Astyanax mexicanus: one gene and its partners. The protein of the gene in region 1 interacts with the protein of each later gene in a biochemical or structural test. Links are inferred from orthologs where the notes say so. Each region holds a gene or a part of one and is shown in the gene's direction. Other genes may lie near its edges. The genes, in order: lck, ptprc and ptpn6.

The links.
Region 2: of the proteins of lck (region 1) and ptprc, one has a biochemical effect on the other in vitro, tested with the Homo sapiens proteins (5 studies listed by BioGRID and IntAct, with this or other methods). The link is inferred for Astyanax mexicanus from reciprocal best matches to the Homo sapiens genes LCK and PTPRC.
Region 3: of the proteins of lck (region 1) and ptpn6, one has a biochemical effect on the other in vitro, tested with the Homo sapiens proteins (4 studies listed by BioGRID and IntAct, with this or other methods). The link is inferred for Astyanax mexicanus from reciprocal best matches to the Homo sapiens genes LCK and PTPN6.

What each region holds. Positions count from the first base shown.
Region 1 is NC_064421.1:41,912,134-41,922,297, reverse strand, and holds the start of lck (tyrosine-protein kinase Lck), read left to right. Parts: upstream 1-6,291; 5' UTR 6,292-6,487; intron 6,488-10,164. UniProt on the Homo sapiens protein: Non-receptor tyrosine-protein kinase that plays an essential role in the selection and maturation of developing T-cells in the thymus and in the function of mature T-cells. Plays a key role in T-cell antigen receptor (TCR)-linked signal transduction pathways.
Region 2 is NC_064423.1:21,154,822-21,165,434, reverse strand, and holds the start of ptprc (receptor-type tyrosine-protein phosphatase C), read left to right. Parts: upstream 1-5,988; 5' UTR 5,989-6,142; intron 6,143-6,241; 5' UTR 6,242-6,280; coding exon 6,281-6,338; intron 6,339-10,613. UniProt on the Homo sapiens protein: Protein tyrosine-protein phosphatase required for T-cell activation through the antigen receptor. Acts as a positive regulator of T-cell coactivation upon binding to DPP4.
Region 3 is NC_064413.1:26,347,951-26,358,153, reverse strand, and holds the start of ptpn6 (tyrosine-protein phosphatase non-receptor type 6), read left to right. Parts: upstream 1-6,285; 5' UTR 6,286-6,425; intron 6,426-6,560; exon of another isoform or gene 6,561-6,750; intron 6,751-10,203. Other genes in the region: chd4b (chromodomain-helicase-DNA-binding protein 4), read left to right, coding at 464-572, 1,786-1,918, 2,003-2,198, 3,776-3,951. UniProt on the Homo sapiens protein: Tyrosine phosphatase enzyme that plays important roles in controlling immune signaling pathways and fundamental physiological processes such as hematopoiesis.

The sequences.
Region 1 (10,164 bases):
CGCACCTCAAGTCGTTCACACCAGATTTCTCTTTCAGATTTTATTGGAAATCAATGCAAAAACAGTTTGAACTATTTTAAGCTATTTTGGACAATTTTTATCGGTCTATTTATGAAGAACTTTTGACACAGGGTAAGGGACAGTGTGTGTTCAAATGATGCAGTAAACAAAAAAAACAAATCAACAAAAATGGAGATACTTGTTTTCATTGGCCAGATGCAGTATAGATTCTGTATTTTTGCATGAAATATTTAGCCAGTTCATTGAGTTCATCACCATGTAGGGTTAACCAATTGTTCGTAATGACAAAAAAAAAAAAAAAAATGGCACAGTATAAGAGACATGGAGATGTTTGTTCAGAGGAAGAGGAATGTTGCCGGAGGCTGTTTTCTTTATTCACAATGCCAACAACTGCAGCTTGAATTTCTAGCATTGCGATTGCATGAGCTCAGCAGGTATTCATCTAAGGGGGCACGCCGGACCCTGCATTTCCTCCTGCAAGCTTCCTGAATAATAATTGCTTACTCTGAACTTTACTCTGAAAATTAGATGCCAATTAATATATACAATATAAACAACAACCTTCTCATTCAATGTTTTTATTTCTTTATTTTTTTCCTACATTGTAAATGAATACTGAAGTCATCCAGACTACGAAGGAACACATAAGCAATCGTATAATAACTTAAAATTGTTAAACAAACCAAAATACTCTGGGATGTTTTTAAGTTGTGGTTTCAAAGGCTGTTACCCTTGGTTTTCTTTTCCTTGGGTGGTCCTGATGAGAGCCAGTTTCATCATAACGTTTTTGATACTTTTAAAGTTACTAAAAAGTTTTGTATTGACTGACCTTCATTTCTTAAAGTATTTTGTTCTTTACTTAGTTAAAAACTCCTTGTCATTATGATAGATTTGTGGATTAGAACATTACTCAAATAGAGCTATTTACTGTATATCAACTCTACCTCTTCACAACTTTTCAACTGATGCTCTCAAACACATTAAGAGACTAAAAAGTCAAGTAATTTAACTCTTGACAAGTTCAGCACAGCTGTTAACTGAAAGCCTGAATTCCAGATGACTCATAAAGCTGACCTCATAAAGCTGACTGAGAAAATGCAGCGAAGATGTGCAAAACTGTCATCTAAGCAAGAGGTGCTACTTAGAAGAATCTAAAATATAAAACATATTCAGGTTTGTTTAACACTTTTTTGTTTACTAAATAATTTCTTATGTTTGTCTTCATAGTTTGAATGACTTATATATTGATTTACAATGCACAGTTTAAATAATGAAAAATCACTAAATTTATTCTATGTCCAAAGGAAGTGGAAAGAAATGTTGGATTGCAATGCTATTTGGAAGATATTTAAAAATCTCCTCCTGCTAAAGTCCACTTTTTTTGTTCTTTATGAAATACAATAGATCTCTCTGAGTTGTATATGATGCTGCACATGAAACTGTTCCCTCAAACTCCGTGGTCTGCAGTAGCTAGGAAAAGAAAAAGTGTTCATCAGGAAAAGTACCGTGACTATGTTAACTCATGAGTGTAAGCAACATCGAATCAAATTGGATCTCCGGTTGATTCTGCGTTTTACAGAGACCTTAAATATACACTAGGGAAGCACGTTTTGACAAGGCAGCACAACTCGACAAAACACTGATCAAAGTGGGCGTCGTTTGCGTCATGTTATGATATAAAGCGGCCTCTGGGGCTTCGACTTAGTTGCAGGAAGAATGTGGGGGCTCGGTCGTGGGTGGGGGCATGGGGGGGTGTTGCGTCTCTACTCACACCGCGGCATTGATAATATTTCTCGGCCACGGGGAGAGTAAAGGCAGGTAGCGTTCTCTGCTGCAGTTAACCAATCAGAGACGATATGTTTGCATGTATGAATATTCATGAGCAAAAGTGATGGAGTGTGATGTAATTTCATACAATGCCAAATTCTAATTTACTACAAAACTAAACACAACAAAAGTCCGTGTTGAGTTCCACTTCTGTCAGCCAAGACCAGAAAGCTGAGTCTGCAGTTTTCAAAGCTGACAGAAGTGGAACTCGACTTGGTTGGACATATTTGGGCATATTTGCAATCAAAGTACCTAAAGCCTCAGAACCACAATACGAGAAATGAGAAGGTCTTGAGCTGTAATAATCAGGCCAGTGAGAGAACTCTGCTCAGGAAACGCTCCTCAACCTGAGGCTCTGATGTCGACCGCCCGGAGAGAGAGAGAGAGAAAAAGAGAGAGAGAGTTGAGAGTTTAGAGTTGAGACCTATGCGTCTTCCTGTTCAAACACGTAGCTGACTTCCTGCATGTGTCTTGGCTGACTTCCTGCAAGTGCATGCATTATCTGTCGCCTGCCACCGCAACAAAAAGAGTGCGGTCGAGAGAGAAAGAAAAAGAGAGAAAGACAGAAAGTAATATAGAAAGATATTAGGTTAGAGGTGGTGCATAAGAAAGAACGAGTCTGTAATCTAAATGCTTCCCTGTTTATGTTTTAGAGAACTGTTGAGTATTTTGGCTATTTTTTTCTGAGTGTCCGCATCATAAAGTGGAATTAGAACGTGATTTTAAGGCACTATAAACTCCCACAATGCATCATAACTTATAGTGAACACTGTAGCTCACTACATTTGCTCAGTGTTGGCCAGAATATATTGTGGAAGTCTCACTACTAAACAACCATCAGCTGAAGAAACTGGAGCCAACAATGAGCCACCAGGGTTGCCAGATTGTTACATTGGCGTGCACATAGTGTAAAGCGTGTTTAAAATACACCAAAATGCAATGAAAACTGCCCTAAAACATCCTAAAAACAGCTGATATGTATTCAGCTTATCAACAATATTACAGGGATTAATCCAACATGGACTTAAAATAAACTACTAAATTTGTCCTTGGTTGTCATTTGCTTAGGACACTAGAGCCTCACAACAAAGACTCCATTTCCCAGCATGCTCAATCACCAGATATCCCTGATCACGTTCGCCAAGCTTTTGATTGCTCACACCTGGAATCCCTTGTATATATACCCTCAATTTCCTTTGTTCCCTTCACCTGTATTTAATCTAATTTGCTAGCTCTTCTATTAAGCATTTTGTTTTTTCTGAGTCCCTGACTTCTCTTCTGAAAACCGGTTATTTGGGTGAGTAAAGCTCTTACATTTATTTACAGTAAGCTTAGATTTCCACAATTTTGACTGAAATGGCTAAAAATATAGGCCACCATGCTAACCTAGCAACAAAGCAGCGCTTACAGCTCAGCTACAAACAGAGCAGCATTGTAACTGTTTAAACTATTTATTTAACTATTTATTACCAAACACATTGAATTTTCTCATCCTCTTTAACTTAATTAATCTTTTAATAAACAGTGATAATGGAACTGTGGTATAATCACAATAACAGAAATATTGGCACTGCTGTGCTGCGGTCGTATTGTCTATTATTACTTAATTCTGTTCTGTATTGTTGATGTGTGATGCGTAAAGAATGGGAGTGTACACACGCTGATCGTGACTGTTGACTGTTGGAACCCTGCTGTCAGGGTTTAAATTGGTCAGTGGCGTATCTGTTTGTTCTAATTCCAAGATAGAAAAACGCCAGAAATTTACCTGAACTTCAGAAATGTTCCAGACCACCATGTCCATCAGTGTAGATATATTCCTAAACTCAGACCCTATTTAACAGCACGGGTGCAAGGCGTAAAAATAGACTGCCGACAGGGTGTAAGATAGCAATGAGCATCACGGTGTATGAAAGGGCCCAAACAGAAAGAAACAGAGAGACAGAGAGGTTATGTGATGACGTTTTGTCACTTGTAGAATGAGATAATACCATTTCCATGTCTCGCTTTCTCTCTCTCTCTCTCTGCTGTTTCTCTTTGTCTCTTACTTTAAATGTGACCAAGAGCGAAAGAGAGAGAGAGAGATGAATAAGTATTGTCTCATTTTACAAAAATAGAACACATATAATAGAGAGTGTAGAGAGAGTGCATTTGTGTAACAAACAAAAAGACAAAGAGAGAGAGAAAGAAAGAGAGAGAGAGAAAAAATAGAGAGAGAGAGAGATTCCAGATGCTTTTCTGTAGGAAACTCACTGGTGTGCAGTAAAAAAGCAGGACTGTGTGGAGCAGTATCAGAAGTGGGGCAGTGGATGTGTGGGGTTCTAGCTCAGGTGGAGAACCCGCAGGTTTCCACTCAGTGCTATATAAAGTGTGTACGGTGTCCCTGTGGTTGTGCAGACCTGCAGTTGGAGCTGGTTGGGGAGGGTTCAGGCTGCTCCAGGCTGCTGCTGCTGCTGCAGAGCGAGCTGTAGGCCGCAGGTCCCGCAGAGTCGGGTGGAATCCTCGCCCGGTAGGTGACGGTCTGTAACGTCTCTCTGAGCACAGCTGCACGAGCTCGACGCCACCTGTGATAAAGTGCGCACTGCCAGCACAACGACAGGAAGCTCTTTAACCTGCTGATCTTCCACAACTCTGCTGAAACTGTGCGCACAGGTTTTTAAACTTTGTCTGGACTACCATGCCCTTATTTTCTTGCTTTAACATAAAGAGCTTTGGAAAAAAAATAAGAGAACAATTTAGTTTCTGAATCAGTTTCTCTGATTTTGCTATTTATAGGTATATATTTGAGTAAAATGAACTTTGTTGCTTTGTTCTATAAACTACAGACAACATTTCTCCCACATTCCAAATAAAAATATTGTTATTTAGAGCATTTATTTGCAAAAAAATGAGAAATGTCTGAAATAACCAAAAAGATACAGAGCTTTCAGACCACAAATAATGCAAAAAAAAAAAAAAACAGTTCAGAAATCAATATTTGTTGAATATTTGGGTTTTAATGACAGTTTTCATGCATTATGGCATGTTCTCCTCCACCAGTCTTACACACTGCTTTTGGATAACTTCTAACTGTGAATCGCTTTCTTGAGCTCATGCCACAGCATCTCAATTGGGTTGAGGTCAGGACTCTGACTTTGCCACTCCAAAAGGTGTATTTTCCGCACCATCTATCTATCCTCTGTTGAGCTTCAGTTGACGGACAGACAGATGGTCTTAAGTTTCCTGCAAAATGTCTTGTCAAACTTGGGAATTAATTTTTCTGTTGATGACGTCAATCCGTCAAATCCAGGCCATGAGACAGTAAAGCAAAGCAACCCCAAACCATGATGCCCCCTCCACCGTGTTTCACAGTTAGAATGAGGTTTTGATTGTTTTTTTTTTCTCCACACATAGCATTGTGTGTTCTTTCTAAACAACTCAATTTTGTTTTCATGTGTCCACAGTATATTTTGCCAGTACTGCTTTGGAACATCCAGGTGCTCTTTTGCAAACTTCAAAAGTGCAGCAATGTTTTTTTTCTTGTACAGCAGTGGCTTCCTCCGTTGTTTAATGTTTTCCTTATTGTAGATTTGTCCACAAAAATGTTAGCATGTGCCAGAGATTTCTGTAAGTCTTCAGCTGACACTCTAGCTGAGAGGATTCTTCCTCACCTCATTGATCATTCTGCGCTGTGCTCTTGCAGTCATCTTTACAGGACTTTACCACGCCTAGGGAGAGTAGCTGAACAGTGCTGAACTTTCTCCATTTGTAGACGTCTGTCTTACCCTGGTCTCATGAACATCAAGGCTTTTAGAGATACTGATACTTTTTTTTGTAACCCTTTCCATCTTCATACAAGTCAACAATTCTTGAACATACGTCTTCTGAGAGCTCTTTCGTGTGAGGCATGATTCACATCAAGCAATGCTTCTTAAGAACAGCAAACTCAAAACTGGTGTGTGTTTTTTTATAGGGCAGGGCAGCTTTAACCAACACCAACATCCAATCTCATCACATTGATTGGACTCCAGGTTGGCTGAGTCCTGACTCCCGTTAGCTCTTAGAAAAGTCATTAGCTTAGGGGTTCACATACTTTTTCCCCCCTCACTGTGAATGTTAACATGTTGTGTTCAATAAAAACCATGCAGTCATAGAATTTTTATGTGGTATTAGTTTAAACAGACTGTTTGTGTCTATTGTTGTGACTTAGATGAAGATCAGAACACATTTAATGACAAATTTAAGCAGAACTCCAAGTATAATCCCAAAGGGTTCACATACTTTTTTTTTGTGCAACTGTAGTTGCTACTTTTGATACATATTTAATAATATGATACAGTATGTTTGTCCCCACGTCCTGACAAGGTGCCTAAACAAACGTGTGTGTGTGTGTGTGTGTGTGTCTAAGTGTGTGATGTGCTGATGGTAAAGTGGAGGATGTAGAGGATGTGATGTCGCTCACAGTTTTCGACGCACCACATGTGTGTGAAGCTGAAGCAGCGCTGCACCAGTCTTATCTGCGCACCTTTCCTTCACAGGTCTAGAAGCTTCTCTAGAAGCGTTTCGGATCCTGTAAAACCGTGGATATAAGGATGAGGACCAGTCCCACCCATCCATGAAATCTGAGGACCACCTGAGACCACCAGCAGTGATACTATAACAGGTATGTCCTGAATTAGCGCAGACCTTCTGAGGGCTTCTGAACTGCGGGGAACTGCTGAAGTAAATCACAGAGTGTTCATTAAATTATACATCACAAATATTTAGAAATATTTAGAAACTCAATCTGTTTAGAAAATGCTGAAAAAAATCCCACAGATAAATCTTTGGACTTAAGACTTGAGTGAAAATGTTGAACTAAGGAAGAACGAGGTGGCGCTTGGGTTGGGTCGACCTTGGCCACGATTTCTCAAATCCAAAAAGCAATTTTTAAAAGCAATGTTTATATCTATTTATTTTGGTCACAATGTGGAAAATGTATTTAGTATGTAATCGCATTACAATTAGAAAAAAAATAGATTACAAAATATAAATTAAGCTAATCAACGTAAAAAAAAATAGTTTTGATTTCTGTGACAGGTCTGTGACAGGTTTGATCAAAACAAAATAAAAAAAAAATAATTAAAAATAACTAATAACTTAAAGTGTTGTTTTAATCTATCTTGGGAAACAAGTTAAATTCTAAACAACCACTAAAACATACTCATTTACCTGAAGGATAATAAGTCGTATTGAAGATTTGAAGCTATTTATATTTTTTGAAAAAGCTGTTTTAACACATATGTATTACATTGTATATTGTTTCATATATATTGACATATAATGTAAATGGGGCATAATGGTGTACAGGCCCATACATATTTATGAAATACAAATGAGATATACTGTGGGATTTACTGTTATTAAATATAGTATACATATATTTGAATGATACATATGGCATAGACTGTTGTTATGTTTATTATCTATATTATACATATGGGATACACTGCTATGATATATTTGCTTACCTATAACATATATTATGCAAATTATACATATTCCTGTATTGCTATGGTACATACAGTATAAGTGATATCATTTCTATACTTTCCTGTTACAGAGGCACAAACATTATACATTATAAATATATATATATATATAGATAATACATTTTAATACATATATAATACATATATATATAATATATACATACATATATATTTATAATACATTATAAATATTCATGAATTTTTTTAGTTTACTACATGATTTAAACAGACACTGCGTTAAAATTTAATAATGAATGGACCAATTAAAATTCTCCAAAAAATGTACCTGAAATAAACTCTTTTTGCATTGACTCCCACTGAAAAAGCTGCTATTTTGAAAATACATGTTTTTCATAGGACAGCGACTATACATATACTCCTATATATATTCTATATATTCTATATATTCCATTTACGTTGGCTCATATACATAATTTTGGGAACACTTTACAATAAGGGTCACAAATGAAAGTACTTTTAACAGTAATCAACGTTGTTAAATTGTTACGTAATGTCTCAACTAATTATTAATTGACACTAGTTAAGAAATTATTGACCATTACTAAATTACAATGATTAAGAATTTTGTAAATAATAATAAATTGACATATTAGTTTAAAAAAATGATGTAATGATTAATAATATATTAACTCGTGTCAATTAATTAATGATTAGTTTGAGACATTCTAGTCGTGAGTAATGTAAATGAATGTAGCCCTATTGTAAAGTGTTAGCATCATTTTTATAATTTATAAAGAGGCAAAAAAAAATAGACAGAATAAGATGTAGAAGGAGATTCTTCAGATGTTATAAGTGTTATTTGAGTGTCCTCACCTGACCTCACCTTCAGTAGTTAAAGGAGAAGGGTGTGGTGTGTATTTGAGTGTATTTCAGATGCTTGGTTGAGCAGATGTGCTGCTGTAAGATCACTAATCTTATTAATTAATATTAAGTGATGAATAATTATCATTCACTAGCGTCACACACGGGAAACAGTGCAGCTCTGTGAGCAGAGGACAGGAGCTGGCAGCAGGGCTGTGGTGTTAGAGGTGAACTGGGTCAGGGAACAGGGAAGGCCTTTAGCTGCCAAGGAATTCGGCTTCCAGTTTGACACCTTTAGGCCGTGCCACCGTGCCGCCTGTAACATTCCTGACGTGAGCAGGACCCGGCCTTGTTTGTGTTGTGAGAGACTGGCCAGGGGATTTACTCTTAGCTGCTTTAGGCCTTCAGGGTTAATGCCTGTAACTCAATGCGGAAACTAACGAGCCCGGTAAAAAAAATACACAACAGGAATAAAAGGAAGTCGAAAGATAGACTGAAGATATTCTTTAAAAACTTCTTTATTTCCATTAGGGTTGGTGGTATTAAAGATTGTGGCGTAACTCTAACTAGTAACTAACTAACTATGATTTTGCCTTTTTATTTTAGATAATTTAGTGCAAAATTGTTTGGAAAGTAGAGATTTTGTTGCAAAAAGCGATAAAAAAAACCAACAACAAATAAATAAATTGTTGTCGTTTTTTAAATGTTGACATAATCTGAATGTGCCTGTTGTTTACGTATTATAATTTCATGATCTGAAAGAGTTTAAGATTTTTAACATTTTGAAGATAAAATGATGTCTTTGTGGCAGCGATGATGATTTTTCATCTGATTAAATGCTATTGTTGTGTGTATAGTCTATAGTATAGTTTTTAAGCGGAACAGAAAATACATCCCTCATATTTTGCCACAGTTTTCATTTATTAACATTAAAACAAACATAAACATCAAAACTTTAAGAATGACTTCCATTGTAATTTAGGGTGTTCTTTATTATTATCCTGCAAGTTGCTGTTTTGAAGATTAAAGGATTTTAGTGTAAAGTCTGTGAAGATAATATTGACCCAGTGGAAATATATGGTTGTGTGTATAGTCTTGTTTTTTTTTTTAAGCGAAAAGGAAAACAAATCCCTTATATTTTTTACCGGTTAGTCTTTTATTGACATGAAAACAAACAGAATATTGTCAAAAGTGCAGATTCAACCCAGACGATACAGAACACAAACATAGATCACCTCTCACTCCATTTTTGCTGTTTTTAACTCTCTGAATCGGGCCGTTTTTCTTAACACTGTAACTGAAATTTAATTTATATTTAGTTATTATTAATATTATTATTAATTATTATTAATATTTAGCCTTGTTTTTTTGCAGAATGCAAAAGCCATCCTATCTTTTTTCCTGTTTTATCATTTATTAACATAAAAAAAAGAATATTGACAAAAATGCAGTTTCAAACCTGATGATAAAGAACATTAACATAGATATGATGATATGATAAATGGACCAATAGAAATTGAATTATAATAAAAATCATTTTATATTGACTTTCATTGAAAGTTAGGGTGATTTTTTTCTTATCATGTAAGTTGCCATTTTAAAGATTTGAGGATTTTTATATATTGTATATTTTGTATAGTATATATTCGTATGTGTGTAGTTTTGTTTTGCAGAATTGTTTATCCAGTATATTTATTGACGTCAAAACAAACAGAATTGGCGCAAATGGGGATTTAACCCTAATGAAACAGAATACTTACTTATATCATAACTATCTCCAATTTCATTTTACATTTTTAACTGAATCATAATTCTGGCAGCTATTTTTTACACTGTGTCTAAATGGACCAATAAAAATAATGCAAAATGACTGAACAGAACTCTTATTGCATTATAAGGTATTTTCTTCTCCTATAATGCTACTAGATTTTGGCAGTGTGTGGCAGTGATGATAATTTTCATCTGATGAAAGAAATTGTTGTGTCTA
Region 2 (10,613 bases), on another chromosome or scaffold:
AATTTGGTGGTGGTTCCATCATACTGTTGGGTTGTGTGTTCAGTGCAGGTTCTGGGAATCTTGTTAAAGTTGAGGGTCGCATAGATTCCAGTCAATATCAGCAGATTCTTGAGCACAATGTTCAAGAATCAGTGAGAAAGTTGAAGTTGCACCGGGGCTGGATACTTCAACAAGACAACGACCCTAAACACTAAACACTGCTCAAAATCTACTAAAGCATTCATGCAGACTAACAAGTACAATGTTCTGGAATGATCATCTCAGTCCACAGACCTGAATATTAAGACCTGAAAATCTGTGGTGTGATTCAAAGTGGTCTGTTCATGCTCATAAACCATCAAACCTGACTGAACTGGAGATGTTTTGTAAAGAAGAATGATCCAAAATACCTTCAACCAGAAGCCAGACTCTCATTGGAAGCTATAGGAAGCATTTAGAGGCTGGTATTTCTGCAAAAGTAGGATCTTATAAATATTGATATAATTGTTCTGCTGGGGTGCCCAAACTTATGCACCTCCTAATTTAGTTTAAATAATTTTTGCACACTTTCTGTAAACCTTATAAACTTGATTTTACTTCTCAAATATCACTGAAATTGCTGATCCGAACAACCAATGATTTATAAAGCAAATTCATGGAAATTATCAGGGGTGCCCAAATGTTTAAACAGGCAGCCTAGTGCATCCCAAATGTTTCAACAATAACAGTTTAATATAACATTGTAGCCTTTATGGCTTTTATGTGTTTTGGGAAGTGGGGTAGTTTACTATAGGCCACTGTGGTGCAGGGGTATTGAGGGGTGACTGTCAGAGATCAGGAGTTCTGCTTAAGGAGGGTCCTCAAAGCTTGACCCCACCCATAACTAAGGTGAGTGGTAAAAAAGAGAAAGGGCTGTGTCTAAAGGGAAATAGAGGAGGAGTTTGAGTTCACTGAGGTGTGATCCATCTACCATAAAACCACTTTATGAAGATACATTACTTTTCCATTTAATGTTTTGACATAGCATTTTAGTGAAGGTTTTTTATATATATTTTTGATGGAAACACCTCAGATTTGCATAGTTATTATAATGGAGCATATGAAAGTAACAAAAAGGGTTTCAGTCTTACTTCTGACTATAAAGTCAAGAAGCTGTTGTTGTGAATTCTTGTGAATACGCCTCTCTCTGCTACTTCCTCAAACAGGCGGGAAACCAAAAGAAGGTGAAAAAAGAATGGGCAAGGAAGTGGTATCTTGCAGCATACTCTACGTTCAAAGGCCTAAAATGTGAGATATGTTTAGGGGGCTTGTGTGAAGAGCTTAAAGTGTTTAAAACCTGTATTTAACTAAACTAGAATGCAGATTTAGTTACATTTAGTTGTACATTCTTCACAGATTCGTTGATTAAAAGAAATGCCACTGTATTATTTGTAACACATTTAAAGTCATAGCAATATTCATTATTATCAATGCTGTCCAGTTGTCATCTTTGACATTGTTAAAGTAGTTTCATAGTAGTCTTTCTGCTCTCTTCCTGTGTTTGCTGTGTCTTCTCCTCACTTCTCCTACACTCTACACTTTTTCTTTCGTTTTTGGTAAGAATGGGTTGCTTCAGGTGTAAGAGAGGGATTATTTAGTGCAGCCACTGACTTTCTAATAGTCCATACAAGTTCATTTTTTTATTGCTATTTACTGTAAACCTGCCACATTTTGAGTTTCTCCTATAGCTTCTGTTAAATTTTTAATCTCCACTTCCCACACTTCTCCTGCTCATGATGTCACAGTCATACCACCTTCACCAGCGAGTCACAAACATTTTCTTGATCCTCATCACTTGAATACTAATCACTGTCACCTTTTAACAATTAAGCGTATATAAATACCCTTTTAATGAATTAACCACTTGTTAATTGTATCTCTGTTGCCACACTGAGAAACCTTCTGTGATATCTCGTAAATGATCTTTGTTTTTTCTGTTGGTTTATTTTCTTTGAATTGCCCCTTCGTCGGCTGGTTATTAACATCTTGCCCATTCTCCGGTTTTCACTTTGGTTTGCCACTGTCTGTTTTGGTTGCTGCTGTGTTTGTGCTCTTGTTAACACCATGCACAATACTACTAATATGATAATCAAGCCTGCAAACTAAATTGAGAGTGCTCGCTGAGACATAAATAAGGTCATGACATGCATTTTTTGGGCAGTTTGAAACCATACATTAATGATAATACTACCAATTTGTGACACTACTATCTGTGTTCCTCCAGAAATCAAAATGCATTAGAACAGGCTACATTTTGCCAGTGTTCAATTGTGCAGTATTGGTGACCCGGTGGACTGTAGCCTTCGCTTTCGGTTCTTGTTTGATCAAAGTGAAGACCTGAGAAAATGCTATTTTGCTAACCACAATGGTACAGAGTGGTTATCTATATTACCATAGAATTTTTTTGTCAGCTTCAACAATTCTGGCCAGTTTCACTTGACTTCTCTCATCAACAAGATGTTTCCGTCCACAGAACTGCTGCTCTTTGGATGTTTGTATTGTTACTCCATTCTGAGTAAACTGAGAGACAGTTTTAGAAACCAGTCCAGACAAGATCATCAGACACCAACAATCATGCTTAAAATGACTAAAGTCATATCTTTCCCATTTCTGATAATTGATCTTAAAACTACATAAAGCTGTTGGCCTGCATCAGCATAATTAAATGTATTTTACATGTGCCACATAATTGGCTGATTAATTAATGGCAATAATTGATATTTATACTATTACGTTTCTAATAAATTGCATGGTGTGTTATGTTGATTATTTTCTTTTGAGTTTATTATGTTTGTTATTATGTTATGTATCTCTTCATAATTCAGTGAATGCAGTAATCTGTATAGCAGTTTTACACACTAAGCAATCCTAATAGTGGAACAAACTTCCTTCCACTGCCAGAGCAAGGGTGTCCCACTCTACCTTTAAGGAATTCCTAAAGGCAGAGTTCTCTAAAGAACACCTACACTTTTAACACCACTAACAAACTAACGACTTCTAGCATTATTTCCTGCTCCCCCTCTTTTCTTCCTCTATCCCACTATTCCCCATAGGCCTTCTTTAGGTCCTGTTAAAAAATGTTTTTGCACTGAACGTGTATGTCCTCTATTGCTAAATGTACATCATTACTCGTAAGATGCTTTGGATAAAAGCATCCGCTAAATGCTATGTAACACAATGTACAATATTAATCCACTTTGATCCAGAAGTGGGAAGCAACATGATGCATTTACATGTTACATGTACGTAAAGCAGCAGTCCTTCAGATTTTGTACTTTAAATTAAGAGTAGTAAGTAGCAAGTAGTGTTCCTGAGCAGAGGGGGGGGGGGGGGGGGGGGAATTATTGTAATAAATAACATTAATGTGCTGCTGCAACTATTCCTGTAAAGCCAGATTTATTTACTTAATTAAAAAAACAGGGGGTCTGGTAGGTTCTGGATTCTTTTGGCAATGACAGAATTTGCTGATTACCTGAGCAAACATGGTGCATCTAATCCTGGCAAAAATTACCTAATTAATTGATTTTGAATAGACATTGCACTACAAAACATTTTTGCATGCTCATTGCAATTACATGTTAAAGTAACTTTTTGAACAGATTGTTCTTGTAAGAATTATTTTTAAATACAGTGCTTTGCACTTTTACTTAATACATTTGTGATATCAAAAATATGCTTTTACTCTGTTATTTTCATCATCAAGCTGTTTTAATCCAATGCGCATTTTGTTGTTTTTTTCATATAAAGCTTCCTTCACCAATGAAAAGGACGAGTTCGTTCACCAATTAAAAGCATCTTATGTGACTTACGTAAAGGCTACTACAGTATATATGGTAAAAATCTGGTATCAAGTCATTAACAGCGGTGGGCTTGACAGGTAGATTTTGGCATGGTGCAGGACTGTGATGGTAAAAATGGGCAAAATTTTTGAAGGAGGCAGGTACGCACCCCTGACCCCATGAGCTTGAGGCAATGTTTTTACTACAGAATACCAAAACCAGCAATTATATCATGTCTTCACTACCAGCCTAACAGCCTGGACTGTTGATATCTTTACCTTTTTAATTTATTATCTGCTGAGCATTTAATAAATATAGAGCATAAAACTTAGTCCTCATTTGGGTTTTAAATTGCTACTTTAGATTGGTTGTTTTTTACAGAAAGATTGAAGAGAGGAGAAGTGCTATAGGCATTTTTGATTTGGTGCTTGTATATGTGATACCTAAATAAGGCTGTGATAATTCAAGTTCTATTGATTGTTAAATAAGATTGAGGAAATAACTCACTACTTGAGTAGTGTTTTTACTGAAATTTCTTACCTTTATTCAAGTAAAAAATCTAATTTACTTTTAATTCTACTCTTTAATTCTAATTTCGAAATAACAGTACTTTTACTTGAGTTCTGTTTTTGGCTACTCAGCCCACCTCTGCTCGGATCAGCCTGCACTACTTTATCCTACAATGCAACACTGATTTCCACAGCTTCTACATTTGTTATACTTTATACTTTTTCTATCTGTCTTAGATTTATACTTGTAAATTACATGTCATACATGGGTGCATCACCAACATAAAAAATGCCCTTTTTTTACCCCCTTTGCAAGAGGCGTTACAATGCACATTGCTATGTTACACCTCATTAACAGTCTATTTTCAGGCCTTGCACCTATGTTGTTTTAATAGCAACGGTGCATGTGAATATATCTACGCCGATGGACATAGTGGTCTTGAAGTGAGCTGTGTTCAGGTAAATTGCTGGCGTATTAATAGCTATGCAATGGAAAACAGATGCACCACTGTCTAAAAGCAACCTAGGCAGACGTCATCTGTCAGACACTCATTACTATTTTGGCAGTGAATTATCAACACAGGCGCATCCCCAACATGTGTACACCCCTGCTTGTTACGCACACATGGACACACAGCAGTGCACAAACCCATAATGCGTGCCTGTTAGCAGCTATACAAACTTTTACCTCAATAATACACAGAAAGAACAAGCGTGAACGAGCAGATGGGTTCTGATAGGTTCATCCTTAAATGTGTTGATTATTATATTGAATGCACATGGATTTTAGAAACTGAAAAAATTGAAATTAATTAGCCATAACATCCTTGTTTCTACACTCGCAATCCATTTTATTTGCTCAACTTACAATGTGAAAGCACTTTCAATCTTTATAATTGCAGACTGTAGTCCTTCTGTTTCTCTGCATACGTTATTATCCTTCTTCAACCTTCTGGATCTGACAGTACCGCCACAGAGCAGGCTTTATTTAAGTGGTGGATCATTCTCAGCACTGTAATGACAGTAACATGACATCTGACATTTATTGCTGTACATTTTGTGTTGGTCATCCTCTAGTGCATCCTCATCAGTAGCCCCAGGATGCTGTTGGAAGGATCTTTTAGGTCGATGGTCTATTCTCAGTTCAGCAGTCAAACTGAAATATTTAAAAATTCAGCAGCACTGCTGTGTTTTATACATTATACACGTACCAGCACAACACACAGTAACATACCACCACCATCATATGAGAGTCACTCAGTGCTGAGAATGACCCAGATAAACCAGATAATACCTGCTCTGTGGTGGTCCTGCGGGATCCTGATCCTTAATGAACAGGGTGAAAGGTGGGTAAAAATTATGAACATACTAAAAGCTCCTATATGGTAAACAGAACTGATGAAATGAACAGTAAGTGCAGTCACAAGGAGGTGGTGTTAATGTTATGGGTAATTGACATATATTTACAGTTTTTTCAAACCTGAATTTGATCTCTGCAGTTAAAATCAAAGACGTTTCCACACACCTACAGGGGCAGTTGTACTGTACTGTAAGATAATGACCCTTATGAAAGCCAGTAGATGAAAGGCAATTTCTTAATGCAATGCTCTTAAACTCTGTGCTGCATTGTTTCTTAGTTTAAAAGGATGACACAGAAGTGCAAGGCGAGAGATTGTGGCGTAGCTGAAAATACAACTTCCTGTTAAGAGGCCCTCAGCGCATTGCTGAAGGTGTAAGCGGTCTTGTCAGTGCTCGGTCTTTCAAACTTACAGCAAGCTTGAGGACACTGGGGGGGTAAAACTTTACGGACTGTACCCTTTGGACAAACAAGAAAACGTAAGTTGAACGACCTTAAATAAAATCTACAGAACCTTCGGTTTAACACACCAAAAATTTAAAAAGTGAATACTTTTTAACACTTTATCTCTCTAATAGGACTTATGGTGTCTTAGAGGAGACGCTTATACCCCGGTAATGGCGACGTTTCCTGGACTAAGGCTCTTACTCTTGGTCCTGGCAGGATTGGCACTATGTAAGTACAAAATGTCTTTACTGGCGTCTTTAAATGAAGGTACGTTTCAGAGATTTCATCAGACTAGCGTGTGACAGGATGCTCTTTCTCCGGGTATTCTTGTGGTGGACTGATGGGTTAGATTATACAATTGCACTAAATGACCATGCTAACTTATTTATTACAAATATTAAATGTTCTTTTTAAAAACAAGATAATAAATGTGTTATTTATAATAAATAAATTGTTACACCTGTTTAATTAATTTAAGTAATTTAAGTAAGTCTGTTGTAGGAAGTAGAAAGTGAGAAGTGGAAATTGTACTTAATGTTTCTTAATTTTGAGATACTTGAGCTTGTTGTTGGTATTGAACTGTAAAGGTTTAAAATATACAGCAGTGGGGCAAACTTTTCCCTTTTTTAACAATGTTGCGTTTTTAACTGATTGTGTACTTTGGAAAATGAGAATATAGAATCGATGACGTGATGCGAACTTGGCCTTCAGCAGTCTTTCCTGATAAGTATGTCTTGCTTAGTGATGTATCTTACATAAAGGCCACCGAGCAAAAGAAAATAGACTTTGTATGTGCGTCTCTCTGTTACCAGGAGTATGATTTAATTAGTCTTTGTTGGTGGGAGCTTTGAACAGTTTGTAACTGTAACATAGGGTTGGTGTTTGGGTGTGTCTCCCTGTGGCTGTGATCTAGTTGAGGAGAATTAGACTGATGCTTCATAGCTGCGTGAATGGCTTCACTATCTGTCCCTCAGTTTCTTTCATTGAATTAAACTCTTATTTATTTTTCATGCTTTGATTAATGCCTTTTAAATCTCTATAATATAATGCTTCCTCTATACTTAACAATAATTAACAACAAGTTTACGCTTTTGATGTTGAATTAAACACTTGGTTATATAATTCTTTGGGAGCTGTGTTAATTATCAGTGTAGTTATATGGCTTCTTTAATTCAGTTGGGCTCTGAAATGTGGCCGCTCCACACCGGCTATTGACCACTTCCTTCTTCCAGTTTGAGCTGGTGTCTCTTCCTCACTAGTTTGAGCGCACTGGTGAAAATAGTGCTAGACTGTGTAAAAAAGTGCATGGTGAAATGAAGAAGTTCATTACTTTTTTTCTTACTTTTTCATTTTTGTGTCTTTACTTAGGGGTTAATAACAGAAGCCACTGTGATTCCTGTAACTGTACTAAACAGGCAGGACAGGGAGACTGAGAAATGGGCCTATATTAGGAAGTGTGAGTTTAATAATCATGTGCTCACATGCCAGGGCTATCAGAAAAAGACAACATAAAATCATATCTTAAAGGTTTATCAAGTCAATAGAGATGGCACAGCATTTGTACTTTTCTTTTTAAGAAAGAAGTTTTTTTTTTAAACCTTTGTGGACCATTGTTACTGCCTTTAATTTAGATTCCTGCTCTCTGGTTTTGTACTTTTGAGGACGAAAGCAGAACAGAAAGTGAATTAGTATATATTAATATATCTAGCTGACACTCTCTCTGATCGTGTAGGGGCACACACATTTTTTTATTAACCAATTACCAAAGAGATAAAAGGTAATACTACATAAAAAAGGTATATCTGTTAAAAGAGTCAGTTTAGAGTAATACATTGTAACAATAGCCTTTAAAACAAGAGTTCAAAGATATCTTTCATAATTATTATTTTTTAATCTTATTTTATCAAGGCTTAGTTGAAGTTGCTGATAGCGATATAGTGGTACACAAAAGTTCACACTACAGTTTGGAATTCACAGTTTGAGTTCAGGGGAAAAAGCAAAAAACAATACTTATGACTTAACAAGCTCCCATTTCATTTCATTTAAACAGGCAGTTAGTGTGTGATAAAATTGTGAATTTGCCCGTGTTTATCATATTAGCACCAGTGTTTCACTAGGATGATAATACAAATAACAGGCATTATGATATTTTCTTGTCCTGTGATACATATTGTGATATTAAGAAATACAGGATTTTTTTGTACCAGAAATCAATGAAGTTAAAAATCCAGCATGTCATTAACAATTTTTCCTTTTATACTGATAAAATTGTATCATGACAAGTTTGATCTAATTTGTTTACGATGTGACATTACATGTCCTGCGAAGTGACTATTGTGCACACATCATATTATGATGGTCTTTAAAACGGAGAAAAATGGTTTTGTAGCCCTTGTTTTGTTACATATATTCTGCAGTTGTGGCCCACCCCTACTTCAAAATTACGAAAGGTCCCAAAATGGCCATTATAAAACTTTGCACAGGTTTTGTATCTATTTAAATAATGAATTATTATTATTTTCTAAAGATCACATGTGAAAGCCATTCTTTTGGTGAACAAAACACATGCTAAGGCTAATTTACCTTAGCTAACGTTACTATCCTAGTTCTGTACAGCTTGTACCTTTTAGCTAGAGAGCAGCCATTTGTGAAGGTAGTAAACTGACACCAAGGGTGAAAAGTGATCTTGAAAGTTGAAAGCTTTTTTTTTTTTAGAGTTTAATAAAAATTGTCAGAAAATAAGTTCAGAAAACTGAAGGGGCCTTTTTTTCTGGACATTTATTAAGCTTATTCATGGATTACAGTTTAATGGTAAAGGTATAATGCCTTTATAAAGTTTTAGTCAGGGCTCGACCATAATGTGGGTCATAGAAATTGACTTTATATATTTGATAGAATAAACACAGACAAATATGCAAGTTTCACAGTTTAATTAACATAAACTTTTTACTCACTTTTATTTAGATTTCTGTTATCACTACAAGTGTTGTTTAGTTCATTTATTTAATAAAAAGTTAAAAAGACAGAATTGGACAGTATTGACCTTTCTGCACCTCTCTAATACTTAACCCCTATTACCGAGCTTTAAAGCACATTTCATTGATGTCCATGTACAATAAAATGTATATTAAATCAAGTTGCAAATAGCAAAATTGGCAAGGCATATTTTCTTGTTTATCTCCTTTAAACTTTTAGTGCTAGTTAAACAGGAAATTATGCAAAGTTTGCTAAGTGTTTAATTGGGTGATAAAATATTCCCAATAAATGTTAAATGTTTGATATTTTAACGTGATATATTCTCTTCTAAATCACAACTTTAATCACAGCTTTATCTGAGCAAAAGCCAAGCATGACTAATGTGTTTTTTTATGTTTAGGCAGCTTAAACTAGCTTTTGAAAGTCATTGGCCTTTGTGATTTTCATTTTAACCTTAACCTTGGCTAATACCCCTCGTAACCGTGATCTGTTTCTAAATTACATGATTATGCTCTGATCACAACTATATTTGTTGCATTTTGTGTTACTGTGGCCCAAAATTCAGTAAGTGATTGTGAATAATCAAGAACTTTTCTTTATTAAGTTATTAGGAACTAACCATGGCAAATATTTCACAGACAGGCAAACATTTTTTGGAGTATCATACTGTTACAAGTAAATACACCTCATGGTCAAAGGAAGTTAACTTCTTTGTAGAATACCTGCTAGTGATTACTCACAAGTTATCATGTTCCATTCAGTGGGTGGACCTTTAGCGATTGTGCTGGCAGAGTGTGTGCACTTCAAGTTGAGATCTGAGTTGAGCAAAACCACATCCGTAAAAAAAAGAGAAAGACGGAAAGTCTAGTTCTCTCTCTTTAGTTCTGTGGGGTAGCGTGATATACTGAAGTAGTTCTTCCAGTCTATACAGTCCTTTCTTAACATTTTTTTTGTGAATTCCTTCTATAACTGGAAATAATGGATTACTTGCTATTTTTATTAATAGTGTAGTTTTTAATGTCTTGTGTTTTTTAGCACACAGTGTTTCTTTCTGTATTTGCTATTCTATTCTAGTGACTGCTTCAGTTAAGGTCTAGATGATATATTTTTAAGGTTTCCTCTGACTGTTAAAAAAGAATAATCTCACATAAGACAGAAACATAAAATCTGCAACAGCTCCTGATCACTGTATGCGTGGTAGTTTGCATTCAAAAGTTTCTGGGAACACAAAAATGAACTTTGCATCAAGCAGAACAAAAGAAAAGAAACCAAAGTGCATTTGACTGGGGATGGGGTAGGTTTTAGTCAGTGCACAGGAAGTTGTGGTTAAAATACCAAAATAGTTTTCGTGCTCGCTCTGCGTTGCTATGACACCCAGGCTGTACCACACATAAGCTGTTAATAACACCCTTCTGTTTTCTCCTAAATGGCCGCTATATTATAGGGGTGCTCAATATTTGATTCACAATTGTGAATTCACGTTCAATTTTCTCACGATATTCAGAACAGATTTTGAATTACAAAAAA
Region 3 (10,203 bases), on another chromosome or scaffold:
ATTTATTTGCAGAAATTGAGAAATGGCTGAAATAACAAAAATGATAGTAGAGCTTTCAGACCTCAAATAATGCAAATAAAACAAGTTCATATTCATAAAGTTTTGAGAGTTCATAAATACAAATATAAAAGCTCACAACTTCTACACTGAGTCAACTCAGAATCTACTAAACAGTCTGCCTACAACATAGACTTTGCTTTGAGTCGACATAGAAGTTGAAATCGTCCAAAACACTTTAGTCTTCCACTGCTCTCATTTTAGTGCTGGGGGTCCCCCTACCACCCTTTCATAACTGACATTAGTCATGGTTTTAGGCTGTTCTAGAGCAACCAACTCTTTTGGTTGTGCCCTTTTAATAGACACAGATTGTTTATGTGAAATTTGAAGCAAGTCATTGTTTGCTTTTTTTGTAATGAATTGAAATGATTCCACCCCCTCAGTTAATAATGCTTCTTGTGTGCAGAACTACACTCCCTCTGGCAGAACGAGGAGAGAGCCGCCACAGTCACCAAGAAGACCTATGAGATCTGGCACCGTCGCCATGACTACTGGCTTCTGGCTGGCATCATACAGTATCCTTTCTCCAACACGTCAGTTTGAGAGTTTCACACCAAGGTTTAGATTTAGGTCGTGGTTAGAGGTTACCTAATTCCTTTTTCCCACAGTGAGAGAACAAAAGTTTTTAATCATTCTATTTTTGGCAGTATGGAGCAACACAGGACATCACGTTTAATGGTGGCATTACATATTGTCTTGATTGTGGAAACAAAAATAGGAAGGTTATTTCAAGATTTATTTTGAGAAGACAAGATTAATTTCATTTCATTGTTTGAATTCTGGTTGTGCTGGTTCTGTGTGATTTTGAACTAATGGTGAGTTTGAGCTCCAAGCACACTGCAGTGCAGTGCACAAAGCATGGATGTGGCAGTTTGCAAAAGAAGCCACAAAGTTCACAGGAGCCACAGTGTGCAAAGACCAAAGATAGCTTCAGTAGTTTTAGTAGTGCAGTGATTACATTGCTCTTATACCATTAGTAATTTAAGTGACTGGAGTAGGTTATAAATCCTTCAGGAGTATCTTTTGCACTTTGATAGGAAAATATATGAATTAATATGCCAAAAAAGTACCAAAAGCACACAAGAACTTATATATTGCATATTTAGGAAGCAAAAACATTTAATTAAATACAAACTATATTTATTGACAAAATAAATGTGAGGAATATTTGTGAAGTCTGCTAGTGGGAACTAATGATTTACTGGAACTGGCCTAATTTTAGTTTATTATAATTACGTAGATAGAAGCACACAGGAAGTGAAGAAGTGAACAGTAGTTTTTTTGTAAACCTGAGGCAGGCCCTGCTAATACTAATGTTTTGACCAGCACAATTTATGGCTTATTTAATAATACTGTTAATCACGTAACTAACCTGTATGTCACCCAAGAATGACAAACTGTCCAGTCTACTAATGGTATTAAATAAAAAATTTAAGTGATACAGACAATGCTATTTATTTCGTGCACAGTGGTAAATAGAAACTAACGGAGCAGTCAGCCAGTTACATTCTCATTTCAAGTTGGTGGGACCAGTTTCATTTGAATCAGAATATATATTTATCTTCTTAACGACAGAGAGAGGCCTTAGATAAAGATCAGTGTGGCTGGGGTGGGGACTGTGTTATTCACAGCTCTGACACTCTTGCCTGTGCTCTTCTGCTCTGTCTCAGTACTCTCACTGCAGTATATGCCACTGCTGTTATGATCTTTGACTCTGCGTGCTCTTAGACATGGCTATGCTCGGTGGCAGGATGTTCAGAATGACCCGCGCTATGCCATCCTCAACCAGCCCTTCAAAGGAGAGATGAGCCGTGGAAACTTCCTTGAGATCAAAAACAAGTTTCTCGCTCGCAGGTTTAAGGTACATAACACTCACTGTCTCACTCACTCACTTGAACACATTCATGTACGCTGCTGGTACTACAGAGATTTTGTTTTCCCCCAGCTGTTGGAGCAGGCGCTGGTGATAGAAGAGCAGCTGCGTAGAGCGGCATATCTTAACATGACGGAAGACCCATCCCACCCTTCTATGGCCCTCAACACTCGCTTCAGTGAGGTGGAGTGTCTGGCTGAGTCCCACCAGCACCTCAGCAAGGAGTCCATGTCTGGAAATAAACCTGCTAACGCTGTACTGCACAAAGGTACATCAATATTGTGCCTGTGTGCTAGACTAGAAACACATGGCACACCAATTGCAGCTTTTCACACAGCGATGCAGGTACTTAAACAAATTCCATTAAATAACTTAAATAACTAGATTTTTTACGCTTAAGACTCTTGTAACTAACGTAACTGTACATTAAGCCTTATTATGCCAAAGTTAGTTCAGACTCTGCAATGTGATTGGCTGAGATTTTTAGTCTTACTAAGCATTGTAAATAGAAAAAAAAGATTGTTTTACATGTTTTAGAAATAATTATCTTATACAGTCTTACTTAGAATTTTCACCTTATTTTAAGTATTTTTAACTCAAAATTAACACTAAAATTCACCAGTCAAGTTATTCTGATACAAGTGTAGACATTTAAGCTAGAAAATATTTATTTTGCTTGATTTAAGTCTTACTTCACTCATTTTGAGGCTTTGTCATTGCTTATTTTAAGAAAACATTATAAAAAAAATTGCTTACATCATTGGCAGATTTAATTTAAGCATTTATGTCTCCATTTAAATAGATTTTATCTAGTTTTTGCCAATGGATTTTTTTGCAGTGTATCCTTCAGGCACAGTGCATAAACGCCATCTCTCCAATAGGCGGTGCAGGCAAAGACACGGTTCACACAAATAAACAAACTTAGCAATTCAAAAAAATATATGTATTTTAACAAACATTATCAGCCATCAATATCAGGATAGGAGTTGATATCATATTAGTTAATATAGGGTATTTTAAGTGAAATTTAAGGTAGCGAAAAATAGGGGTCCCCATGTAATTCCGCAGGTCTCGCCGCTGGGGGGCGTCGAAGTAAACAAAACTTTAATTCTTAAGTCAAACGAGCACTGGACTTAAATCTACACAGATTTCTCTTCTAAAAAAACATTTATTTAGGCGAGTAAAGCTTTTATATTTATTTACAATAAGCTTAGATTTCCACAATTTTGACTGAAATGGCCGAAAATAGAGGCCACCACGCTAACCTAGCAACAGTGCAGCGCGTGTTTATAACCAAACAGATTGTATTTTCTCTCATCCTCTTTAACTCAAAATATTTTAATAAACAGCAATGATGGAACTTTGGGATGGTGCGATTAACATGTAATATTGGCACTGCTGGCACATCTACAGGTCTGCGACGGCTGCACAGCAGTGCCAGCAGTCCCTCCCTTGTATTATTGCTTAATTATAAACAGAAACATGCATTAAAAGAGAGGTCGAATTTTGGCAGGCAGAATTCAGCATAACATCTGGAAAGGCAACTCGTCAAACTGGCAACATTCTACGAATCAATCAGTGCTTGTTTATAGAGAGGTGCAGCCCACATTGGTTGATGAGGACAGGACATAAGTTATTTCCTGTGCTCTTTAAACTGCAGTGTATACATGTATACAGTGTAACAAAACGGACTTTGGTCTGGTCTTTTAATGTGTGAAAACGCCCTTAACGTTTTAAATAGACACAGAGATACACAGTCTCTGAAGATGCTCATTAGAGATCTATCAGGGATGCTTAGATACTTTTATTTTGTCATAAATTGAACTCTCTCTTCATTTTTCTTAGTTCTTAAGCAACTGGAGGAGCTGCTCAGTGACATGAAGGCTGACGTCACCCGCCTCCCAGCCACCATCGCCCGGATACCACCGGTCGCTGTGCGCCTGCAGATGTCAGAGCGGAGCATCCTTAGCCGTCTGGCCAGCCGTGGGCCAGAGGTTACACAGACGCAGGCACCCCGCTGAGCCCCAGATGACCTTTTGACCCTTACATCCCTTAGGCTCTGCCCTGATCCGGAATAGCTTCACCCAGTCGTTCCCTCTTGTGCTGGATCAGGTTACCCAGAGTACTGTACAGAGAGTCCTCCCTGCTGTTAGAATGAAAAGAGAGAAAGAATTTTCCACTGTAACATAACTGTGTCCCTCCATAACACTTCTCCTTACAAGCTCCCCAACCTGAATAGCACTAAAACAGCTCAGAGTGACCTTCCTCTCACTACCCTCCCAAGCATCTCTGCGGCCAGTGATCAGACTTAGAGCTTTGCGAGGATTCCTTGTCTCACATTGTGTCGTTATCATAATAACCTCAGGCAACTCTGACTTCTCATTCCTGTCTTTACACTAATACAACTGACCTGTAAAATACAGTGCGTATTGGCATCTTGAGGCCTGTGCATTGAGATTTTCAGGTCACATAGCTTGTGGGATTGTTTGCTGAAAAAAAATGCCACTCAAATGTATACAGAAGTTCCACAAAAATAAAATATATCACATCGCCACTGTTCTGTCTTGATGTAAGATATTTTATTAATGTGAAATGTATGTACACATTTGAATCAAATAACTACATAGTTTTTTTCAGTGCATTAGAATACACTCAAACACCCTCACACTATAACGGTTTATATGAGCTCAGACATCTCTAAACAGAGATTTCCTTAGCAAACCATGTTTAAAAAAAACTCTTTCCTGTTCGCAATCCTCCGTCCAACCCACCTCACATCATTCCTGAGTGGTCCCCAGATGGTGTCACAGACTGTCAACATCATAAGCCACAGTCCCTTCTCCAGCCCACAATCAGAAAACACAACTGGGATGATGACAGGATGACGTTTAAAACAAGGCTGATTTTCCACATTCAAAACGTTTGATTAGCTCACTTTGTAAGTATTGTTGTTGCCCTGGTATTGTTTATACATATATTCTTTCTGGATTTTGACCTACATACAATTAAAATAATTAACAAAAAGGTTTGTCTGGATATTATGAGTGCTTTTTAATGAATATTTGTCTATTGTGTTCTTAAGGGGAAGGAGCTGCAAAGCACAAGATAGTTGTGTGTTGTATTCTACAATTTGTTATTCAGCACATTAGACATAAATTAAGATTAAGAGTAAGTTGAAGTGAGGAGAGAATGAGCACAAAAGTATATTTAATAATATTTGGAAAAAGTGGGTTCTGTTCTTCAGAAATATATTAGAACTTTTTTTGTGTGTGTGATCCGGTATGCTGCTTTAGTCTGGTGGAGGGTCCAGTTGGAAATGTTTTTAATAACACATTTGTACAATATTAACTGCCTTTACAATGTCATATGTTACTTTACAACACGGGTAATGCCCTGCTAAGTGCAGTTCAGTCACTGACCTAGTCTTATAGTCTCTATAAAACACGAAATCCACCGGAGATCCTATGTAAACTTAGTTACTTACACAAAGAGTTGGGTAGTCCAGGTCCAGAAAGTAAAAATCCACCCTGGGGTTTTGTTGGCTGAGCCACAGCAGAGCCCAGGCAGTTGGAACAAAACCTTGAGGCGGATTGTTGTGTAAACAGAACTGTTTAAAACATATACCTACCTATCTTAATTGTACTTCGCTGATGGTGTTTCATAGACCATTCGTTCCTTAGCTCTGAATTACTGGGCAAATCATATAACACTGATGTGTTATTTTTACAAATAACACAGGAACTACCATGTTGTTCCTGATGCTGTTAGCTTCTGTCTGACAAAATGGCATCCCTGCTTGGCTTCAGCTCTTCCTGTGGGCGGTCGCGAGTCAAGGCGGGTGAGGCCATGAATAATAACCTAAGTCACAGGTTGACGTAGACACAGTGCTTTTTCTAATAGACTGAATATTATTTTCTGAACATTTTCTTTTACTAGCAGACAATGGAGTTTAAAGAAGAGTTTTATGTGCAGCATGCATATACAACTCGGAGAGACCTATTGTATTTCACAAAGAAAAAGTGGATTTTAGTTTAATAAATCATTATGTTAATATAATATGTTGTCTCTTTAATTTAATAAAGCTAAACTCAGTTTAATAAATCATTCTGTTAATATAATATGTTGTTTCCTTAATTTAATAAATCTTCCCTCTGTTTAATAAAGCGATTAATTATCTTATTAAATTATTTTGTAGAGTGTAGAGGGGGTGATTAACTGGTGTATGTCTGTGAATATGTTTTGGTATTTGAAGGGTTTGGTTTTTCAGCATATCTGTAGAATTAGGTTTTCACCTGGGCGAGTCTGGACAGGTCCTGTGTGTGGAGCACAGTGTGGGTTGGAGTGACCCGGATGACTCAGGCTGGAGACTGGAGGGAGAGAAGCGGTCAGTGAGGAGAAATATTAGCTCACCGTGTTACAGAATGATCTACCTCCACAGAGTTCCACTGACAGCTGCTCCAAACACACACACCAGGTACACTCCTCACTCCTCCAGGTGAGACAGAGGTGTGTGGTTGAGAGCGAGCGCGCGTGCGTGTGTGTTTGCTGACTAGGAAGAAGATTTGGAGGCTTTTTTTGGCTCTCAGGCAAAACACGGCAATTTGGGAAAATTACAGGGTGGAGAAGTGTAATCATGCTGCTCTGATCTCTTATCACAACCACCGTTTACATACAGAGAGGGAGAGAGGAGCTCTTCTGAGCGCTATAGGTTATAGTGATCGTAGTGCACTATGTAAATGTAGTATATGAAGCTCCTCGCTGTGCAGGTGTGTGTGTGTGTGTGTGTGTGTTGACCCGCTGATGAAGAAAGCTCGGTGGTGGTGAGTCTGCTGCTGCTGTTGTTGTTGTTTCTTTCTGTTTAGTGAGTATATGTAGTAAGACTGCTGTTGTGTGTCGCAGTGACTCTGCAGTGTGTGTTCTGTGTCTCTCTGATTCTGAGGGAATTAACGTTAGTTAATTCTGTTTCAGTGTGTAGCTGTGTGTGCTCTGAACAGGTCTAGTCTAGCTCTGGCTCTGGCTAACTAACTTTCTAGCGGTGTCTGCAGCGGGAAGTTCTCTGTTGGAGGGGTAACTTTCTTTTTAATTTAAGTTTTAAACTATCCTTTTACTAAATCCGGTTACACCACAGACCCCTATGTCGTGTCTTAACTAGTAGCAAACTAACTCACGCGCAGAGTTACTGTCGCTTTTACATGACGAAAACAAGCGTGTAGCATGTCAATCAATGCCATGGAAACGTGGTTGTCAGCCAGCGCAGATGTTTTTGTTTTTATTATTTACGGGGAAATTATATATTATTAATGTTATTATTCCACATTATATATATATATATATATATATATATATATATATATATATATATATATATATATATATATATATACTTATATACGTATATATATATATATATATATATATATATATATATATATATATATATACATCTGAATCTAATAACACATACACATGTACTGTATGTATAACTGTTACACGTACTGTTAATCTCAGTTTCGAAACCAAAGACGGTTACAACAAGTTCACTAATTTCTTTTGATTTTCTCTCAAAGAAGTCTTTATTTTAAAGAAATTGTTGACAGTATGTTCAAATAATTGATAATTTTGTTTTTAAATCACTTTATATTAATGTACATTGTATTTCTCCTAAAAGATGCAATGCTATTTTTATTTTTTCAAGAAGACCCAAATCTGAAATTGATTAAAAAAAAAGTGTTTTACATTCACTAATATTGTTCCCTGGTTAAACAATAAAGCAATAAAGCAGAGGACAATACTTATTCCTATTACTGGAACTCACTCCTGTTACTGACAGTCACGCCTGTTACTCTTTATGTTATAAGTAACAGGAATGAGTTTTTATCTTAGAATTAGAAATTCTAAAATTAGAAATTACATTATTTTAAAAATAAACAAATAATATCTAAGAATTAACTTAGGTAACAGGACAGAGTGTTGAGATTGACCTCCTCAATCATAATTACACTATCAAATATACAGAAAAACAAATAAGGGAACTTTAATTTTGGTCTTCCCATGATCTCCAGAAGAACCAACTGATGGAACTTCCTGATGTAGATGTGACTTGTAGTATGTCTCAAATGTTTCAGATGGGGTAATGTGTTACGATAACAGGACTGAGTAAAACCCAGGGACACTACTAAAATTTCTATTTTAACTTAAATAGTATGGGGAAATTTGAAAGTCTATGTAGGTCACAATTTTTGAGATACAAAGACGAAATACGGCTGGTTTATACAACTTATCGCGTTCTTTCCGACAATATGCTTCACGAAATTATACGTCGTACGGTTTTCGTACAATTATCGTACAAAGTTTCCCCATAGGAATGAATGGGGGGCCCAGAGTTCCATCTCGCACACGAGCAGCTCTGCGCACGGAACCCCTTCTCTCCCCTGCTCCTCCAGTACTGTGAGTGTATGGAGGAGCTGCTGTATGGAGCAGCTATCAGTCAAAAGTTTGGACACCCCGGCACCCCAGCCAGGGCTTTGCAACCACCTATTAACTGCTTAGCAACAACTTAGCAACCACCTGGAAAACGTTAGCAACTGCCTAGCAACCAGTTAGCAATACCTTAGCAACCACTAGGAAAAGTTAGAAACTGCCTAGCAACAGCTTAGCAACCACTTTAGAAATGAAAGCAACTGCCTAGCAACCACTTAGCAACCACTTAGCAACCACGTTAAAAACGATAGCAACTGCCTAGCAACCACTTAGCAACACCTTAACAACCACTAGGAAAACATTAGCAACTGCTTAGCAACCACTTTAGAAATTATAGCAACTGCCTAGCAACCACTTAGCAACCACCTGGAATATGTTAGCAACTGCCTAGCTACCAGTTTGCTACACCTTAGCAACCACCTGGAAAACGTTATCAACTGCATAGCAACCACTTAGCAACCACTCTAGAAATGATAGCAACTGCCTAGCAACCAAATAGCAACAGCTTAGCAACCACCTGAAAAACGTTAGCAACTGCCTAGCAACCACTTAGCAATCATGTGGAATATGTTAGCAACTGCCTAGCAACCACTTAGCAACCAATTTAGAAATGATAGTAAGTGCGTAGCAACCACTTAGCAACACCTTAGCAACCAACTGGAAAACGTTAGCAACTGCCTAGCAACAGCTTAGCAACCACTTTAGAAATGACAGCAACTGCCTAGCAACCACTTAGTAACCACGTGGAATATGTTAGCAACTGCCTAGCAACCACTTTAGAAATTATAGAAACTGCCTAGCAACCACTAAGCAACCACTTAGCAACCACATGGAAAACGTTAGCAACTGCCTAGCAACCACTTAGCAACCACTTTAGAAACACCTTAGCAACCGCATAGCAACACCTTAGCAACCACATAGCAACCACCTAGCAACACCTTAGCAACCACCCCAGATACCATAGCAACACCTTAGCAACCACCTAGCAACACCTTAGCAACCACCTAGCAACACCTTAGCAACCACCCTGGATACCATAGCAACACCCTAGCAACCACCTAGCAACACCTTAGCAACCACCCTGGATACCATAGCAACACCTTAGCAACCGCATAGCAACACCTTAGCAACCACCTAGCAACACCTTAGCAACCACCCCGGATACCATAGCAACACCTTAGCAACCGCATAGCAACACCTTAGCAACCACCTAGCAACCAACTAGCAACACCCTAGCAACCACCTAGCAACACCTTAGCAACCACCCCAGATACCATAGCAACACCTTAGCAACCACCTAGCAAGACCCTAGCAACCACCTAGCAACACATTAGTAACCACCCTGGATACCATAGCAACACCTTAGCAACCACCTAGCAACACATTAGCAACCACCTAGCAACATCTTAGCAACCACCCCGGATACCATAGCAACACCTTAGCAACAACCTAGCAACACCCTAGCAACCACCTAGCAACCACCTGGTATATGTTAGCAATTGCCCAGCAACCAGTTAGCAACAGCTTAGCAACCACCTGGAAAACATTAGCAACTGCCTAGCAACAGCTTAGCAACCACTTCAGAAATGATAGCAACCGCCAAGCAAAACATTAGCAATCAAACGTTTAACCAAAAGTTTTACGATTTCAGCATTTAAACAAGCGTTTTTAGATTTCAGCGTTTAACCAAACATTTTTAGATTTCAGCGTTTAACCAAACGTTTTTAGATTTCAGCGTTTAATCAAACGTTTTTAGATTTCAGCGTTTAATCAAACGTTTTTAGATTTCAGCG